Canis lupus familiaris: one gene and its partner. The protein of the gene in region 1 purifies or fractionates together with the protein of each later gene. This does not show direct contact. Links are inferred from orthologs where the notes say so. Each region holds a gene or a part of one and is shown on either strand. Other genes may lie near its edges.

Region 1 (3,829 bases):
AAGAAAGACTGAATTCTCCTCCAGACACAATGCAGTCAAAACAAGAAAAAAATAATAATATCCTAAGAAATATTAATGGAATATTTTAGGTATTATCAAATAAACTCAATGTGCTGAAGGACCATAAAACTCTAAGGACCATCTGCAAATTGAAAGAAATGCTTATAAATTCTGCTTAAGTCAATACTGATCACCATTTATTACAATCATAAATATCACTGAATGAAACAAAAAGGATTAGAGTACTTAGCCTCAATCAGAAAATGAAATGGACAGATGTCCATTCATTTCCTTAGCATTATATTACACTTGTTAATTGAGATTTTTCTCCATTTTAAAAGAATGATTTTAAACATCATTAAAATTAATTAATTCTTCTCCTGAATTGCTTTGCTGCTAGTTATACACTTAAAAAAAAATCCAAATGTTCCCTTTAACAAAGAACTTACCTTTCTAAGCATTTCATTATCTTGAACGTTATTGAGTTCGTGTGAACTAATCTCTCCTTTAAGCGTATATTCATAAAATTTTCCACTAACATTTACCAATAAGGTAGTTGGGCTTGACTGTACTTCACAGCTCAGGGTCACATTATTTACATCACTCGGAACGTGAATGCCATATCGAAGCACAAGGCCCACCAAAAGACCTGGAAATAATAAAAGAACCATATAAGCTCTTCTTTTGGACAAAGGCTACTTCTGTACCACACACATCCCTTTGGACTGATAACAGAAGAACTCTTAGCATAGTCCTCTGTGGTTCAGAACAAATTTCTAGACTGAATGCAGTTACATTTAAAAGTATTACTATATTTGCAAATCTAAGAGTTTAATATTCATATAATCCAGTGGGACAAGAGGGGAAAACATTCCCTAGGGTACAGCAAATGCAGCATCACTGCATTTCTAGATCAAGATATAAGTAAGTGATTAGGAATGTAACAAAATAAAAAATAACTTCAAATTATCTGTACATAAAATAAGGTATCCCAACATGACAGTGTAATCATGTTAGAAATGTGTTTACCACCTCCACCTCCATCCATCAGTTCATAAAACTTAAACACACAACACTTCTCAAGTTATTCCTCCAGCACCTGGCTGGCCAAATAATACACATTTAACAAATTGGAGCATCAATAATATTTGTAGATCAACTGAGTTCTTCTATCACTAAAAGGTCAGATTTTTATTTAAAAACATGTGTTTCAAAATCAAAACATGGAATAGAAGTCCTCCATCCAGCACTATGACATCAATATATTGCAAGAATTGTACTTGGATTTTTTTAAAGATTTTATTTATTTGTTCATGAGAGAGAGAGAGAGAGAGAGAGAGAGAGAGGCACAGAGACACAGGCAGAAGGAGAAGCAGGCTCCACGCAGGGAGCCTGATGTGGGACTTGATCTGGGAACTCCAGGATCGCGCTCTGAGCCAAAGGCAGACACCCAAATGCTTAGCCACCCGGGTGTCCCAAGAATTGTACTTGGATCATCATATTGATATTCAAATGTACACAATGTCCTAGGTACTAAAACCTACATTGATCTGTTTAATAATGGCTTTATTGAGATGTAACTCACATATCATAAAATTTACCCTTTTAAACCATACAGTTCAGTGGCTTTTACTATATTCACAAAGTCGTATATTGATCATCACAATCTAATTCCAAAACATTTTCATTGCTCCAAAAAGAAACCCCATACCTATTAGCAGTCATTTTCCACCTTACCCCCCAACTCCCAGCCCCTGGAAACCACTACTATCCTTACTTTCTATATAGATTTGCCAACTCTGGACATTTCATAGAAACAGAATCCTAGGGATGCCTGGGTGGCTCAGTGGTTGAGCATCTGCCTTTGGCTCAGGGTGTTGATCCCAGGGTCCTGGGATCAAGTCTCGCATCAGGCTCCCTGCAGGGAATTTGATTCTCTGTGTATGTCTCTGTCTCTTTCTCTGTATTTCTTATGAATAAATAAATTAAAAATCTAAAAAAAAGAAACAGAATCCAATATGTGAATTTTCATGTCTGGCGTTTTTCATTCAGCATCATGTTTTTAAGGTTTATCCATGTTGTAGCATGTATTAGAACTTCATTCCTTTTCGTAGCTAAATAATATTCCATGGTATGGATCTATCTCAACTGCAAATTGAACTCAAACTTCTGGAACTTTCCTTTACTCCAAGAGGTACAGCATGCCACTATCAGCTACACTTTACCTCCCTGTTTCCTTTCACACTAACTCGTCAGCCACTCCTTTAATGCATGTGGCTAGAGTACCATGCTGAATAGGCCCCCAGGGTTCTGAGATGAAAACAAGGTCCCTCCTTCATGTAGCTCTCAGTCTAGTTAGTGAAAACAGACTGAAAAAACAGTGACAGTATGATATATATGGAGACAAGGTGTTATAAAAATGGAAAAGAGGTACCTGGTGCCTAACCAAGCCAGAAGGAAGTGGGACAACAGGGAAGTCTTTCCAGAGGTGTCACATAAGCAAGGAAACAAAGTAAAAGAAATGGTTTTCCAGGTAGGAGGTACAGTAGTACACATCCAGTCATAGAAGAGTGAGAGAACACAGCCCATTCAGGGAATTGCACGTAATTTGGGATGGCTGGGTTACAAAGTGATGGAGTTGAGGTGTGCAAGATTGGCAGGAGCACTGTCATAAAAGACCTTGCGAGTTGGGGAAGGGAAGTTAGACTTTATCTCAAAAGCAAAAGGAAGCCATGGAAGGGTTATAAATAAACAGGGGCTTGACATAAGATTTCTATTTTAGAAAGACAAGTTGCTCTAGACCACAAAGGTTCGAAGAGTCCAGACAGAAGGCCACTGCAGTCTTTCAGGCACTGAGGGCTTTGGGCCTCATCCCAGAGAGCAGAGAAAGGCATGGAGAGATTTTTGGAAGGTATTAGTTTTTAGAAGAACTCAGTGACTGAGTATACCAGGAGGAAGGGAGATGGGGAGAAAGACTAAGGGAAGCCAAGGTGACTTGGCAATTGGGTGGGTAAGCTGGCCTAAGCAGCCAGATATGTAGCAGGGCCATTTGGGGAGAAAGGGAACAGGTTCATGGTGGAAATCTTACAGTTCTGTTTCGGACCTGTTGAGTGTGAAGTACTTGTGACACAGGCACAGTTGAGTGTATGGGATCTGAACCTCAAGGAAGTGTGGTGGGGTCTCAAGTGGAGATAGCTGAAGTCAGGTACCTCTGAGGTAACCTGCAGAGCAAATAAAATGCGAAGAGGACTATGGATATATGCCCAGAGTTTTACCCCAACATTTAATAGCCAACATAAAGGAGCTGGTGGGGAGGAGGAGCTGATGAAGGAATCAAAGGAGGACAAGTAGCAGGAGTAGGAAGAGAAGAGGAAGAAGTGATGAAAACTAGCCAATTCTGTGGTCAAGGATGACAGGTGTTAAGAAGTGTCCGTCAGGTTTGGGAACGAGGAGCTCATGGGTGACGTTGGTAAGGGCAGTTCCAGTGGAGCAGAGGGAGCAGAAGCCAGTCCAGAGTGAGAAATGATAAAATGCAAGGAGGGGAAAGGAGCTGGGAAGTGGGGAAGGCACAGAGATGGGGGATTCTTTGAGGCAACTTGCAGTCACACGATTTTTAAAGTGAGTGGCAATCAATAACTGCTAAACAGTAGGATGACCTCAACTTTTAAAAAAGTTTTTAACAGGGACATCAGCATGGCTCAGTGGTTTAGTCTCTGCCTTTGGCCCAGGGCGTGATCCTGGAGTCCCAGGATCGAGTCCCACATCAGGCTTCCTGCATGGAGCCTGCTTCTCCCTCTGCCTGTGTCTCTGCCTCTCTCTCTTTATGTCT
Region 2 (3,829 bases), on another chromosome or scaffold:
TTTTAGGTTTAACAAATTCTGATTTTTACACTGTTTTAATTCCTCTATTAACTTTTTAAAAAATATTTTATTTATTTATTCATGAGAGACACAGAGAGAGGCAGAGATATAGGCAGGGGAGAAGTAGGCTCCCCGCAAGGAGCCCAATGTGGGACTTGATCCCGGACCCCGGGATTACACCCTAAGCCGAAGGCAGATGCTCAACCACTGAGCCACCCAGGCATCCCCCCTATTAACTTTTTAACTATATGTCTTTGATTTTTTTTTCTGCATGTATATATATTTGCACTAAAGATAACCATATGGAACTTTAAGATTATGATGATTTACTTAAATTAGTACTGATTTAAATGCAGTGAAACAGCAATTTTGCACTCATACCTCAAAGAGCAGCATTCATGAATTGTGTCATCAGGACACTGGTACCATGGATTTACTGAAAAATTAGTTTTGTGGTCAAATAAGTTTGAGAAATGGTACAATCATATCTCCCTTCTGTATATCTACAATGTAGATTAGCATATTAAAAAGTTGTCAGAAGCCTTGCAGAAAAAAAGAAGCTGCTTCATTTTCCTTGAAGGAAAGGTTTCCAAAACTCTTTGACTACAGCATCTTCCCTTTTTTTATGTATCCTAACAACCTGCAGAAATAGTGTTTCACATAACTCACTTGACAAACACTAGTCAAGCAAACAATAGAAATGAAATATGGGCAACTTATTTTTAAATCATTAAGAAATACTGTATTTTTGAAATAAAATTAAGTGTCATCCTTCCCTACAACCTCTTTGAAACCATCTAATGTTCTTTTATTCTTTAAGTGATTGAAGCAAGTATACAACATGTTTATCTGTAAAATCTGTTTCCATTTGTAGGGGATGTGATCAACCTTGGTGACAGACAGCTCACTGTTATGCACATGCCTGGTCACTCCAGGGGCAGTATTTGCTTACATGACAAAGACCGAAAGATTCTCTTCAGTGGAGACGTCGTGTATGATGGATCACTGATTGACTGGCTCCCGTACAGCAGGATAAGTGACTATGTTGGAACCTGTGAACGTCTGATAGAATTAGTGGACAGAGGTCTGGTAGAGAAGGTGCTTCCTGGGCACTTCAATACCTTTGGTGCTGAAAGGCTTTTTCGATTGGCTTCTAACTATATTTCAAAAGCTGGGATATGTCACAAAGTTTCTACTTTTGCCATGCGATCTCTTGCGAGTTTAGCCTTACGTGTAACAAATTCTAGGACCTCACCCTAGTATCTATACTGATGACCTATTGTGATGAATTCTGTAAATTAATCAAATTCATTTTGTGCTGTTTAAAATGATTAATAGTGAGCATTTCAAGAAGTGCTTTATTAGCGAAAAAAAGATTGAGAATGAGTAAGCCAAAAGTTCTTTGTTTAAATTTTTTCCTTTCTTCCAAATAAGAAATCACTTAAATAAGCTTTATAATTTGCCAAGCTCTCGTCTTGTAATATTTGTCATCTTGTAATATTCCAGAAATGACACAGAAATCTATGTGAAAGCAAAGAGGCATTTTGCAGTAACAGAAAGAACTGTCCTTGCCTTCCATTTGTCTTATTTTATTTCCTACGTGACCTAGAGAAAGAGGCATAAAATTTTATGTTTATACTCCAAACTTGGTATTTTGAGTATATTCTTTAAAGATAAAGGTTCTTGAGTTTAAAATACATTAGGACTCAATACAAACATAAAAATTAATATTTAGAATGACAGCTAAAATAATCCATTGTTATGGCACAGAGTTTTTATGCTTCATTTATTTATTCTTAATGTAATTATGGTGTGTATTATATGTTGTATAATTTTACTTACAGAGTACAATGAATTTTGTTTTATTGCAAAGCTTTAAATATAAATTGCAGAGTGCTTCAGTAAAAAGCTACTATATAGCGTTGTTTGTTATGTGAGTGTAATATTTTCGATCATAAAAATGAAATTCAAATGTCTGTAATCTAATTACAAATTGTCAGATTTCTCAAAAGGACACTGTCAGGCAAATTTGAAAATATACACATTGAAAATAATTTTTTATTATATCCTATTTTAATATTAACAGCTATTATAAACAAAATTTTTCTTGTTAAATAGCAGCTTCACTATATGTATCATATTTTATAGTATCAGAAAACTATAGAGATCTACAACATCCTGATATAAATCATTCTTTTACTTACCATAACATACATGTGTACCACAGAAGGCTTTTCAGATGAATTGCAAAATACACATTAGATATTGACTTAGATTAATTGCCTTTTTTATCCTGATTCACAACACCTATTCCTGTTCAGTATTCTTTGTCTTGAATAAAAAGTCTACATTTATAAAGTTATAAGAAAGGTTACCCACTATTTAGTAAAATATTTTAGTTTGGTGCTCTTTATAATTTATTAAAAAGCCTTTTGGAATATTTCATAAAGGTTTTTTAAACAGGTTTTTCACTGCCTTTTTTATTATTGACATGTTCAAACCCAAACTGAGATAGCTTTGGAAACCAGATTTTTTAGTCTTAAGAAGGTTTAGGAAATTTTTATTTCTGAAAAATTAGTAAATGTTCCCACCCTATACCCACCCAGGTTCTTTAGTCTTTTATTCATTCAACACACACACACACACACACACACACCATATGCATATACACAGTCACATAAATACATACATGCACAGTATTGTGCTAAACACTGTGGAAGTTTAAAAAGTCAAAGAGACTACATCTTAGCTGGAAGTAGAAAGCAAACAAAACATGACTAATATTATATGCAGGTTGAAGCTAATACAAATTACAGAATAGTTTCAGGGACATAAATGGAGGGATGTGGAGTTTGGTGAAGAAAAGATTCCTGAGGGAGAGGTTTTTTAGTCAGATTTGGAAAGATGATTTGTTGGGTAGTCAGGGTAGGGGACAAGAAGAGCCAAGAACAGGGATGGAAAGCATTGCTGTCTGAAGTAGGCTATTCCTTGTGACAATTTAAATTTAATTTTCAGGAATCTTAGATCATCCAAACACCAAGTATTTAGCATGAGAAAGGTGGGTTTGTGATTGTATATATGAGTCAAGCTGTACTGCCACCTGCCACCAAATGAGCATTCTCATTCAAGGCAGTAGGTCTGTTTCAATTGATAGTTCAACATCAAGAATATAGATTTGGTTCAGGGCAACTACAATCACTTAATGAGCCTTAAATATAGCCATTATTTTTATATCAGTAGCACAAAAGAAAACCAAAAGTCCTTAACCATTGACCATTTTATCATACTTTAGGACTTTTAAAAAAATCAGGGTATAGTAGGCACTAAGTTTTATTGAGAAATATTTAAGCCTGATGAAGGCTTTATTTCTTGAAAGTACAATTTTTCAAAACATGGTTAATTTTATTTTTAAATTTCCAATTTTTTTTCAGTTTTTCAAGTTGGACAAAAACATAAGACTGATATTTTGCTTTTGTTTCAGTATGAATAGATTGGGGAAAGGATCTATCATTCATTTAGTGCCCATGCTATGCATTTTAAAATATGCATTATTTGGTTTAATCCTGGCCCCGTGCCAAGAAGTAATTGACCAGCCTCACACAACATAACTTTGAACAAAGCTGGTAATTGAACACAGGTCTATCTGCCTCCCAAACTGTGCTCTTTCTCTTGTACCTGCACAATAACATAAAATTGGCAAAGTGTATTTTTACTTTTCCAGATGCCACATGTGCCAAGAATAAATCAAGTGATGTTAAGCATAATAATAGCATATTTTAAAAGAAGCTTTAAAAAAATATATTTTCACCCTGACAGTGACCCGTGTTAT

What was found.
Region 2: the proteins of SLC9A6 (region 1) and MBLAC2 purify together in Homo sapiens (co-immunoprecipitation; 3 studies listed by BioGRID and IntAct, counting the BioPlex papers as one, with this or other methods). This does not show direct contact. The link is inferred for Canis lupus familiaris from reciprocal best matches to the Homo sapiens genes SLC9A6 and MBLAC2.

What each region holds. Positions count from the first base shown.
Region 1 is NC_049260.1:107,361,873-107,365,701, reverse strand, and holds part of SLC9A6 (sodium/hydrogen exchanger 6), read right to left. Parts: intron 650-3,829; coding exon 450-649; intron 1-449. UniProt on the Homo sapiens protein: Endosomal Na(+), K(+)/H(+) antiporter. Mediates the electroneutral exchange of endosomal luminal H(+) for a cytosolic Na(+) or K(+).
Region 2 is NC_049224.1:18,615,662-18,619,490, forward strand, and holds part of MBLAC2 (metallo-beta-lactamase domain-containing protein 2), read left to right. Parts: intron 1-874; coding exon 875-1,260; 3' UTR 1,261-3,829. UniProt on the Homo sapiens protein: Acyl-CoA thioesterases are a group of enzymes that catalyze the hydrolysis of acyl-CoAs to the free fatty acid and coenzyme A (CoASH), providing the potential to regulate intracellular levels of acyl-CoAs, free fatty acids and CoASH.